Linked DNA regions of Oryctolagus cuniculus. The protein of the gene in region 2 purifies or fractionates together with the protein of the main gene of each other region. This does not show direct contact. Links are inferred from orthologs where the notes say so. Each region holds a gene or a part of one and is shown on either strand. Other genes may lie near its edges. The genes, in order: GDI2, RAB1A and GDI1.

Region 1 (2,916 bases), on a different chromosome or scaffold from region 2:
TTAAGGTTTATATTAAAACAGGCAGTTCCCTGGATTTGTGAAGATCTTAAAAAAATATATAGGGAGTCTGGTACTAATTTTTTAAGATTTACTTATTTGAAAGGCAGGGTGACAGAGAAAAACGGGGAGAGAGACTGATTTTCTGCCTGCTGGTTCACTCCCCAAAGTGATCACAATGGCCAATGCTGGGCCAGCTGAAGCTTTAGGAGCCTGAACTCCATTCAGGTCTCCTATGTGTGTTATGGGGGCCTGAGTAATTAGGCCATTTTCTACTGCCTTCCCAAGCACATTATAGCAGGGAGCTAGCGTGGAAGTGGAGCAACCAGGAATAGAACTGGTACTCTAATGTGGGATGCCATTGTCACAAGTAGCAGAATGCCAACCTCCAATAATTATTTTCTATATTGCAAATTATGCAGTTGTTTAGAATAGTGATATACAGACCAGGTCTGGTATCAGGACCTGTGAGTCTGTTAAACTAGTTCATAAAGGTCTTATACTGATCTGCAGTATCAAATGAAGGAAACAGTACTTAATAAATCTTGTTAGCTATTTAATGCAAAGTCCTAAGTAAAAGAAAATCCCAGAATAGTTAATATGGCTTGTTAGCTATTATACAGCAGGGAGATTTCATTTTCATGTTTAGCGGTTCACTGCCACATAATTTTTAATCGTTAAATATTTGAATACTGTGGTTGTGTTTTGTCTCCATGTAGAATGTTTATAAGATCTTGCCTGCTTCAAGTAGTGTAAATTAACACCTTGATGAAATATAGTGAAAAGTTAGTATGCTAAGTTTTATAAACAGGTTTATAAACTTTAGGCATTGAGCTGCTATTATTTGTTTCTAGATATCTATGTCTGCATGATTTCCTCTGCACACAATGTGGCAGCACAAGGGAAGTACATTGCCATAGTCAGTACAACTGTGGAAACCAAGGAACCTGAGAAAGAAATCAGACCAGCTTTGGAACTGTTGGAACCAATTGAACAGAAGTGAGTGTTGTGTTCATTTATATGAACTAAAATCCTAATTGGGGTCTTGATTTTGGCTTTGGGGGGTGGTGGTTTGAACATGATAACAAGGAAGGCAACCATTGGGTTCTTGTGGGTATTTCTTAAACTGAACCATCTCTACCAGTCTTACCTTTTGTGTTTAGAAATTCAGCAAACAATTATTAGTTTGAGGCCAACTAACTTGGCAACCTAATTCTTTTTCCCCTCCAGATTTGTTAGCATCAGTGACCTCCTTGTGCCAAAAGATTTGGGAAAAGAAAGCCAGGTGAGTGTGGAGATCTGAAAAGGATATTAGGCTTCATTGCAAGATATCCCTTAACAAATCATAATTTTTATGATTTTTATTTCCAGATCTTTATTTCCCGCACATATGATGCTACGACTCACTTTGAGACAACTTGTGATGACATTAAAGACATCTATAAGAGGATGACAGGATCAGAGTTTGACTTTGAGGAAATGAAGCGCAAGAAAAATGACATCTATGGGGAAGACTAACAACAGTACATGTTACTAAATTGGGACAAATTTAAAATTTGGCAAATAATGCATATTGTATGAAATCAGTATTGTAAAGCCTGCTTTTGTAATTAAAATGGAGGGATTGAAGAGCACTATACCAGTAAATATTCCTCCCCCTTCATCTTTCTAATATCATGTATTAACTTCTGTTCTTGGAGTGGCTATTCAGAATTGGCAGGTTACCACGTTCTGTTCCAATTTAACCAAACCACCCCACATCCTGTGAAAGATCAGTTTTAAACAAACATTGTGATACTGATACAGAGAACTTGATACAGTATTTTTATCTTTTAATCAGCATAGTCTTGGCAGTTGTGCCTCTGCTGCTCAAGAACTGTATCTGTATGTCTGTGCCATCTGTCCTTATGACACTGAGATCCTACACTGAATATTCCATAATTTGAAACAGCACCCCCAAGTTCTCCCTCTAATTTTGTTTTGTGTTTTATCACATATTATGGCAGGTCCCAAATAGTATAGCCACAGATTTGGTTTATGTGGGCATAAATTATAACCAAACTCCAGAGATAGGGAGTCATTTGGAGGAAGCCACTTTGTGGTGTTTTAACTAATGAAATTGGTGAGACCAAGGGGAAAGGAATCGGTCATAAAGCAGGTAAAATGTAGAAGTATCTTTTATATCACAGGTGTGGCTTCTTCAATGGACCAAGCTGCAATGCAGTATTGATTTGACAGAGCCTCTACTTTAGTCTGTCTGAAATGGCTCCAAATGATTTCTGTACTGCAAAATAAAGCCAAATTCTGGATACCACTGCTCTCTGTATTGGTCTGTGTCCTGATTGTAACTATTAGTGTTTCCTTCAGTAAAGCTGAAAGATGATAGAATCATAAGGTGTGCACAGTATCAAAGAGCATATGTGGCTCCTGATCTGGACAGATCAGAGCAGCCCTTGTCATCATCTGGCTTCAGTATGAGTAGACCCCACATTTTATTCCTGATACTATATAGTATACGATGCTTGACTCCTATTGATGTTAAGTAGTGGTAAGCCTCACTGTACAGGCTATTTATTACTAAGACTTTGAGGAGGGAAAAGGATACCAGAAACACTAGCAGGTCTGTGAGGGTCTAAGTGGTAGGATTGCTCTGGAAGGTTAGTTATTCCTGTTTAATGGCCCGAGATTGCTAAGACAAGGTGTTTTTTTTTTTTTTTTTTTTTTTTTTTGCCATAAAATCATTGCAGAAACTTTGGTTGGATGCTTTTGGGTTGTCTTTATTAAAAAAAAAAAAAAGAAACAAATTAGTTACAAAAACTTTTGTTCCAAATAGATACTAAGTATCTCAAATGTTTGGTTTTTAGTTTGAAAGATTACTGTAGAAATTCAAATATCATAAAGTTTCCTCAGAATTGATTT
Region 2 (4,240 bases):
AGTATGAGTGCTTGTGCACATTTGTGTTTTTACTCAGTGAAATCACAGTAAGCAGGAAGGGTCTAGGATTTTAGAGTCCAGGGTAAGAAACATTCTTTAATCCATTCAGGGTCCTTTTCCTGGAGTGGTGACCATGTTCAATTCAGAAATCAACATCATATACAGGAACTCTAGCTGACTGTTTGATGAGGCTATCAACTAAGGTGCATGGTGGGATTTGGGGGTTAGGAGTGTAGTTGGTACATGGGTAGAAGTGAAGAATTACTTTCTTCCCATATTTTGGTGCCATAGGAGTTTTAAGTGATTTTGCAATCACTTAAAGTCTCAGGAGATAATTTTCTTGGTTCTTAGAACCAGTTGGAAGATAAACTTTGGACAATGTGTTATACTATGCCCTTTGTAATTAAATAACCCAAGCAAGATAATGTGTTAAAGTTTAGTGGAGATTTAAATTCCTGAGCTGATTAAAGAGAGCTGGTAAGCCCATAAGGTTGTTTTTTTTTTTTTTTTTTATGTGTTAGTATTACTCCTGGAGTCTGTGGGCACTATATAGTGATGAATTGTACGTTTTTATCGCTTATTACTTTCCAATCTTGCTCAGAATTAAGTGGCAACTTTTAAAGAGGCAGAACAATTCAGCCTGAAGGCTGGGCCGAGAGCAGGTAGACTCAACTCTTAGGCCATGCCTGGGCTGTGTCCCACCCCTGGCTGTGGAGCCCTTGAAGGTTGTGGGGTCACGGTGGAAGCGCTGTGTGCGAATGGGCTGGGGCATAGTCCACTTGCAGGCAACTGAAATGTCCAGGCTGAGGTGACATGACAAGAGTGGGGCTGGGCCAGGACTGTAAAAATCAAAAAGAAAACGGTAGTGACCGAACCCGGGTGGGGTCGGGTGAGTGAAGAGGGCTGCGCGCAGTCCAGGGCGCCGGAAGTCCTCGGCAGAGGCCCCCGACTTTCCCGCCGCCCTCTGAGCCTACGTCCTCGGACCAGCGGCGAAGGGCAGGCCTCAAGCCCGTCGGGCCTGCGAGAACCGCGCGGGGCTCAGGGGCCGCCAGGCGCGCGCCCCTTCCCCCACGCTCGGGCCGTCCCACCAGGCCAGACCCCTCCCGCCCCGCGGTCCCACCGTGACCCCCATCCTCCGCCCCGGCCGGTACCGCCCTCTGCCTCTTCCCACCCCCTCCCCCGTGGGGCGCTGACTCGCCCGGCTGCCACGTCTCACTGGTGACATCACCGGGGCCTCTCGGCCTTAGCCAATCCGCTAGGGGGAGTCCGAGCGAAGTCCTAGCCAGCGAGTCAACGGGGAGGGGAGCAGGGAGGGGCGGAGGGTGGGGGGTGAGGGAGTGGGGAATGGAGCGGGCGACAACCGCACAAGTACGCATGCACCAGAGTCGCGGGGCTTGGCGGGAAGCGGAGTCCCGGCCGCCTTGCCGCACCGTCGGTCTTCTGCGCGTGTAGCTGCGCTCGCGACTCTCCTTCCCGGCATGCCACGCGCCGAGGCCGCCCTCCGGGCCGTGTAAAGACCCCTTGGTCCGAGGCTTCCCTATTTCCTGGTTCGCCGGCGGCCATTTTGGGTGGAAGCGATAGCTGAGTGGCGGCGGCTGCTGATTGTGTTCTAAGGGGACGGAGCGGGGGAAGACGTTTGCTCTCCCGGAACAGCCCATCTCATTCCTTTCCTTCGATTACCCGTGGCGCGGAGAGTCAGGGCGGCGGCTGCGGCAGCAAGGGCGGCGGTGGCGGCGGCGGCAGCTGCAGTGACATGTCCAGCATGAATCCCGAATAGTGAGTGCAGGAGAACACCGGTCGGCTGGGTCGGTGGGCCAGCTTGGGAAGCTTAAGCGGGGCGAGGAGGGCTGGGGCAGGGGCGCGGGCATTGGCCCGAGGGAGGCAAGGGTGACGGGGCCTTAGAGGCTTGAGGCCGGGAGTCGGGCCCCATTGTCTGACGGCGGAGGGGCGGCCGGGGGGAGGGGTCGGCCGGAGAGGTGAGCGGCCCGGGCCTCGGCCGGGTCCGCCTCAGGGCCTGAGTGCCGGGCCGCTGCGGAGGGCCTTGGGGCGTTGGGCAGTCCGGTGGCGGAGCGGCCTGAAGGGTCAGCTTCCTCCGGGGGCAGTAACTTTGGAAGGGGCATTTGTTTTTAAGGGGAGGAGAAGGGTGGGAGAGCTCCCCCAGAGGGCACTGTCAGACCCCGCGCCCGCGCTCTGCGGAGCTGTCAGGATCGCCGGGTTGGAAACCAGCTTTACTTGTAAAGCCTGAGCTTGCTGGTTCCCTGTCGTGCCACCCTCCCCGCCAGGTTGCAGGTAATATGGATGCTTCTCGGGACTGCGTGGGATTGAGGGCAAGGAGCGGAGAGATGGTGAGCAGCGATTTAAAATGCTTAGTTCTCGTTTGGAGTTATCTCCTGGAGGAGTTCTTTAAGAACTTGCCTGGTCCATCGCCCTCCCAAAGCCCTGGACATTTGGGAGAATTTGTTGTTAGAGGACACCTAAGTCATTTTGTCTTCTATAGGTCAAGGGAGGGAGAAAAAAAAAAAACAGAACTAAAACCAAGGGTACTACCGAATTGGACAAGGACTACTGTCAAGTTGAAAGAGAAACGAGTGGGACCTATGGTAGATCGTGTAGGTTTTGGATTACCTACTTGAATGCTTGTAGATAGGGAATGAGCTTCCATGACGTGTCATGAAAAGTTAATGCATTTCTTTTCCTTGCTTACTCAAGAGGTCACCACAACAGATGTGACACACCTGGCACTTTTCCTGGGAACTAGTGTTCACTTGCCTTGGGGAAGAGTTTAGTTGAGTTCTTTATGGCCCTTAAGAAAAAACACTTCCTACAGTTTACATATATGTAAATTAATGAAAAGTTGATAATTTAATTGGTATTCTTCAGCGCCGGAAACCTTTTCAGGAGGATTTCTAAAAGCAAAAATTAGTATTTGTCCCAAAAGTTTTTTTATTTTTTGCTTTGGTCAGTTACTGGTAGACATATCCCCCTGAAAAGTCAACTCTTCAGTTTAGCTGACTGTCATGTGTGTGTCACATGACTGTTGCAAAACGCATTCTGACTTCAAATTTTGTAATATTGTGGTTTGATGCTGAAATATCTTTTCGTACTAAACAGTAGCTATACGATTTTACTAGAATTTCTTACTTGAAAAATTTGCTATGTTGGCAATTTTTTCTTTATCAAGGGCTCCGAGGACAAAGTTGGTGTTACGTGGTTAGCCCGAGTTGATGTAAGGTTCCTAATTAGTGTTTATCCTGGAAGCAGTAAAGAACATGAATTTTTGGATTTGCCACTATATGGAGATTTTTTAAACCTCTGCTGTTCAGGGAGGTTCCTATATTTGCTACATATGTTTAGTACTATAAATAGACCTTGAAAATTAATTAGTTGAATGAGATTTTGAGAAATTACTCAGCTTCAGAATTTGTTTCTCCTTTTGTAAAATAGGATAAATAGGAGTCATCCTTACCAATGTAGTGGTGAGATTCAGATACTTCCAGACGAATTTGGAAAATGGTAAGAACATTCTTTTGGAGGTAGAAATCATTTTCCTGTAAGGCATTCTGATAGTGCTAGGGTTTAACAGTGCTATGGTTTTATAAGTTCCCCAAGGAACTTATAAATGGAATATAGAATGTAGATTTTTTTTTTTAGAATGTAGATTTTATGCATATCAAATGTCAGTAGATATAGCAAGTTCCAAATATGCAGTATAGATTGGAGCAACAGGATTTCAGAGGAATGTAGTGACTTTGGCTTGCCCATTGGGTTTTGGAAGACTCTGGAAAAGAAACCTGTAAGGATGTTATTAGCAGTGAGATTTGGAAGAGCAGAAAGGATCGAGGAGGATTTTTCCAGGGGCAAAAAGGAAGGATGGCCAATAAATGGCAAGGACTATAGAATTTAAGTAAGTGTAGTGCCAGATCATCCTTTCTTTTAAGAACTTTAGATTAATGATCTCAACAGAGTCAAACTTAGAAAATCTTTTTATATTTTTTTCTGGCATCTTGTTTGCCAATATCTAGCCTACTGTATTTGCATTCTGGACTGTCTATTAAAATAGTCCAGTAGTTTGGGAAAACCTTTGCAAAAGTGTTAATGAAAATATCTTAGGGTGATAGTAAAAGATGGCTATTTTAGGGAAGATCGGGGGCAACCAATAATCAGATTTTTTTTTTACCAATCTGACTTCATTGATCTCTTTTTGTCTTTAACGAAGTTTAACATTGTAAGAGTAATTGGA
Region 3 (4,267 bases), on a different chromosome or scaffold from region 2:
GGCTCTTGCCATACCGGGCCAGGGACTCACTGTACAACTTGATACGGTTAATGGTCTCCAGACAGGGCTGGTCCAGGTAGCTGGGGGGACAGAGGTCAGGGAAGATGCTCCAACAGGCTCCCTGGCTCACCCCACCACCCCGAATGGCCCAGGGGAGCCGGGGGGTCAAGTGCAGGGGAGGGGCGGACAGGCAACAGGGGAGCCTATGGCTGAGTACGAGAAATGTGCAGGGTAGGCAGAGGGAGCAGTGGGCAGGTGTTGGGGAGGCAGGGTAAAGGCCAGGCAAGGGGACCGCGCCACACCAGCTTCCCCTCACTCATCAGTGCGGTAGAGTGCCAGCGCGTGGCCAGTGAAATCAATGACATCCTGGCCCAGGTCAAACTTCCGGTATACGTCACGCATGCTGGTAGTCTGGGGATCGACGCCCTCAAAGGTCTTGGGGTCATTCTCATCAAAGTTTGCCACAAACACCAGGAACTTGCGGAAGCGCCGTTTCTCAAACATGCCCATCAGATCTGAAGAAGGCGGCAAGGGGGGACCCTTTGCACTAGAATACAAAATTCTCCTTCCCGCCCCCCCCCAACCCCACCCCCGTGGGCTGGCCGAGAAAGCTGGCATCCCGGCTCCCAGTGAGGTCTGTCACATGACCTTAGCGTAATCTACCTGTCTCGGCCTCGGTTTCCCCACCCATGTGAAGAGGGGGTTGGGCCGGGCACACTCTGAAGGCCCTCTTGGCTCCGACACTTAGAGATGTTCCAGGGCTCAAGCGGAGCCCCTGTCACAGGCTTCCGAAAAGGAGCACCCTCCACTCCTCTCTGCACGCGGATCGCCCTGCTAGCAAGCCGCTGTGAGGTGAGGCACATGGCAGCAGCAGGAACAGAGCAAGGGCCATCTGCTACCTCACAGGGGATGCAGCCTCGGGCGTACAGTGGCCGGCTCCCGGTGTCTACCTTGCCACCCGCCCTGAGGTCGGGAGACCCACACTCACTGGAAGCCAAGGCCTCGGTCTCAGTGGATGGCACTTTGTAGATCTTGCCGCCTTTGTAGACAAAGCTGCCCTCCACCACCTTGAAGTCCAGGTAGCGAGTCACCTCCGTATACAGGAGCATCTTTACCAGCTGCCCTGTGGTGGGGACAACATCAGCACAGCTCCCTGCAGGAGCTCTGGCCAGCCTGGCGGGCCCTTGTCTGGAGCCCAACCCCCTCCGGTCCTTCCCAGTCACCACCGCGCCCCTAGGAAAACCGCAGCAGCTCCTCCATCTCCCTCACCATTGGCCATGAGGAATTTGGGGATCAGGTCAACGTTCCAGTCTCGGCCCCGGCCCATCGACTCAGGGGGCCCCTCCAGCAGCTGAAAACGCTTATATAACTGTAAGCAGGAGGGGGAGAGAGAGAGACACCTCAAGGACTGGCCCTCCCTCTCCCTGCCACCCGCTGCTGCTACACTATGGCTCCAGTGAGAGGTTTCCAAGGGCCCGGCCTGGGCCAGGCTGGCAGCCTTACCTCTTCCAGGGGAGTGATGGAGGAGCTCTCGCCCCCATAGTAGGGGTTCCGGTCCATGTGCAGCACCTTCTTCCCGTTCACAGACATGATACCAGACAGGATGCACTCCTAGGGGTGTGAGGACAGCCGGTGCGCTCCCACCTGCCCACTTCGCACCAGCAGCCCTGATCTGTTCTCCTCCCCAAGCCTGCCACAATGGACAGCTCCTTCCACGCCCCCAGCCTCCGCCGCCGCCGCCTTGCCTAACACTGGTGGCGATGGCTACATCCGCCCGTCTCCTTTTTTACCCTGCTAAGCAGAGGTGAACCAGAGAGAAATAATGAAGGAGTCGGGGGAGACAGAGTGTCCAGCAGACACAAGGACAGTCTCATGGCACCGACTGCCAAGAAAGTCCTCTATCAGTGCAGAGCCGCACAATCCGGCAGATAAGACACAATGAGGCACACAGCGGACCTGGCCAGGCCGCAGAGGGCGCCCAAAAGGGAAGTGAAGAAAGGCACTTGGACTCTCAGGCCCCACCCTCGGCTGCTCCGTCGTCAAAGGCCAGGAGCCCCTGACCCTAAGCCTTCCCCACCTGGGCTCAGGAGGGGCATCTGGGCCTGGCCTGAGGGAAATGTGTCTCTCAGGGGAGCGGGTGAACACGCTGTGGGGGAAGGGGGACGATGAACATTCTCCCTAGTCACTGTCACCAGCCCAAGGACAAAGGCTGCAGATATTGCTCAGCCTCAGGTCTCCATGGGAAACCAGGGTGGGGGAGCGGGAATGTGGTCACTGCCCTCGCTGTTAGTTATTCTGGAACATTCCCTGGCTCTTCTGATCCCAGAAGCAGCCAGGAACACAGGACGAGGCCCCAACCTGGCAAGGCCCCCTAACCCCAGGTCCTCGTACTTCACCCCTACTAAGATTAGTATAAGTTGGGGGGGCACAATACTAGGAAGGTGATGGGTGGGGGCGATGGGTGGGGACTGGATGGGAGGGACTGGGGGGCATCAGGCCGAGTGGGGGATACGTTTTCCGGCCCAGCAGGGCAGGGTAGGGAAGATGGGAGAGGCCGGGAGTCGGCACCAGGGAGTCAAGGGAGCAGCCAGGAGACCCCGCTTCGAGGTCATGGCAGCGAGCAGAGAAGACGTCGCGAGGCCAAGGGGGCTGGGGAGTGGGGAAAGAGAAGGCAGTGGGGTGGGTACGGGGCTGGCGTTTCGGGGACCCAAGGGCAGAGGATAGGAATGATGGGAGGATGGGTTTGGCGGCCAGCGGCTGCATCATCGCAGGGATTCGGGAAGGCACGAAGCGGAGGCGCAGGCGCCCGAGGCCACACTTACGGTGAGGCCGGTCCCCAGCACGATCACATCGTATTCCTCGTCCATGGTCAGGCCTTGGTACCAGCGCCCGCTCGGCTCCTCCTCCCGTTTCACCACAGCAGCAGCCGCCGCCGCCGCCGCCGCCGCACTGGACCAAAGATGGCGGCACTTCGAACGCCGCCTGACCCCTCCGCCGCGTCAAAAAGTCCCAACACTTCCCCAGGCCCCACCACGCCTAGCAGTGATCACCGCTTCCCTGGCTTGCCTCCTAAGAGGGTTGCCGGTACTCGGGCCCTAGCACCAGTGCGGCTCTGCCGGCGTCGCCGTTTGCCAAGGACCCAGAGGAAGCTAGGCGGGGCGGTCCGATGACCGGTACTGCGGTCCGAGAGGGATCCGTGCGCGGGAGCCGCGCGCGCCCCGCCCCGCCCCGCCCCCCGGGAGGCTCCGCGCGGCCCCGCGGGCCGGGCACGCGCTGCTGCAGCAGCCGGGGGCGGCCCCCTCACGACGCTGAAGCTGCCATTGTCGCGGCGACCGCTGTCCCGACCACTCCTTCCCTACCTTAACCGGTTAGGGGCCCAGTTTGCTAAAAGAGTCCCTGGCGGGCCCTGGCTCCTGGATTTTGGCCTGGCTGGGATACATCTAGGGCCACCTCCCCCCCTCCCCGCACCCGCCCGCCCTCCTGCCCTCCTCCCATCCCTCAGTCCAACGCTTTCCTCATTTCTAGTCCAGAAACGAATGACAAGAGGCCCAACGTGTGGCGACCCATCTTTATTTTATTAGGAAGGAGACAATGGAGCATGCCAGGCTCCTGCCAGGCGCTCCTGAAACACAGTGGTCACGCCCAGCCCACCTGTCATGGAGGTTCCTTCCTCCTGAAGTCACAGAAATAAACCCCAGCACAGTGTTGATTGTTAACACAACATCACCAGGATACAACAACGACAGCCAAGCGGGACACAGAAGTGGTCACTTCCACATTCTGCCAACCTCGGGCAACCTGAAGCTCTTGGCTGCTGTAGGGAGCCCCATAAAGCTGGGGGAGGGAGAACTTGCTACACAAAAGCGCTATGTACAGCCAGAGCTTATGGTAGATAGAGAAGAATAAATAAGGGGAGGAGAAAGGGGACCCTAGAACTAATGCCCCTGTGCTTTCCCATGGCTGACCCGGGAGACAGGCCTAAAATCTATGCAGAATATCTACACCTTGTCAGGAGGGCTGGGAGAAGCCTCGGGGAAGCCCCTCCGCAGGCTGATGAGGGAGTGAGACAGGCTGAGGGGAGCTGGGGGTTCATGCTATGGTAGCAAGAGGGGGTCCTTGGGTGCCATGTACCATAAGGTGGGAAAATGACAACCTGGACACCATCACAACCACAACCCCTCCCCCCTGGCACGGGGTCACACGATCTGGGTCAGAGAGATGGCAGGGCCCTTGTGGTCATCAAAGCGATCCATGGTCTTGAGGCTGA

What was found.
Region 1: the proteins of RAB1A (region 2) and GDI2 purify together in Homo sapiens (affinity purification with mass spectrometry; 6 studies listed by BioGRID and IntAct, counting the BioPlex papers as one, with this or other methods). This does not show direct contact. The link is inferred for Oryctolagus cuniculus from reciprocal best matches to the Homo sapiens genes RAB1A and GDI2.
Region 3: the proteins of RAB1A (region 2) and GDI1 purify together in Homo sapiens (affinity purification with mass spectrometry; 7 studies listed by BioGRID and IntAct, counting the BioPlex papers as one, with this or other methods). This does not show direct contact. The link is inferred for Oryctolagus cuniculus from reciprocal best matches to the Homo sapiens genes RAB1A and GDI1.

Annotation. Positions count from the first base shown.
Region 1 is NC_091444.1:79,669,122-79,672,037, reverse strand, and holds the end of GDI2 (rab GDP dissociation inhibitor beta), read left to right. Parts: intron 1-851; coding exon 852-996; intron 997-1,227; coding exon 1,228-1,282; intron 1,283-1,368; coding exon 1,369-1,515; 3' UTR 1,516-2,311; downstream 2,312-2,916. UniProt on the Homo sapiens protein: GDP-dissociation inhibitor preventing the GDP to GTP exchange of most Rab proteins. By keeping these small GTPases in their inactive GDP-bound form regulates intracellular membrane trafficking.
Region 2 is NC_091433.1:137,617,450-137,621,689, forward strand, and holds the start of RAB1A (ras-related protein Rab-1A), read left to right. Parts: upstream 1-1,327; 5' UTR 1,328-1,753; coding exon 1,754-1,776; intron 1,777-3,466; exon of another isoform or gene 3,467-3,590; intron 3,591-4,240. UniProt on the Homo sapiens protein: The small GTPases Rab are key regulators of intracellular membrane trafficking, from the formation of transport vesicles to their fusion with membranes.
Region 3 is NC_091453.1:132,666,742-132,671,008, reverse strand, and holds the start of GDI1 (rab GDP dissociation inhibitor alpha), read right to left. Parts: upstream 2,868-4,267; coding exon 2,823-2,867; intron 1,612-2,822; coding exon 1,504-1,611; intron 1,370-1,503; coding exon 1,270-1,369; intron 1,124-1,269; coding exon 989-1,123; intron 516-988; coding exon 317-515; intron 81-316; coding exon 1-80. UniProt on the Homo sapiens protein: Regulates the GDP/GTP exchange reaction of most Rab proteins by inhibiting the dissociation of GDP from them, and the subsequent binding of GTP to them. Promotes the dissociation of GDP-bound Rab proteins from the membrane and inhibits their activation.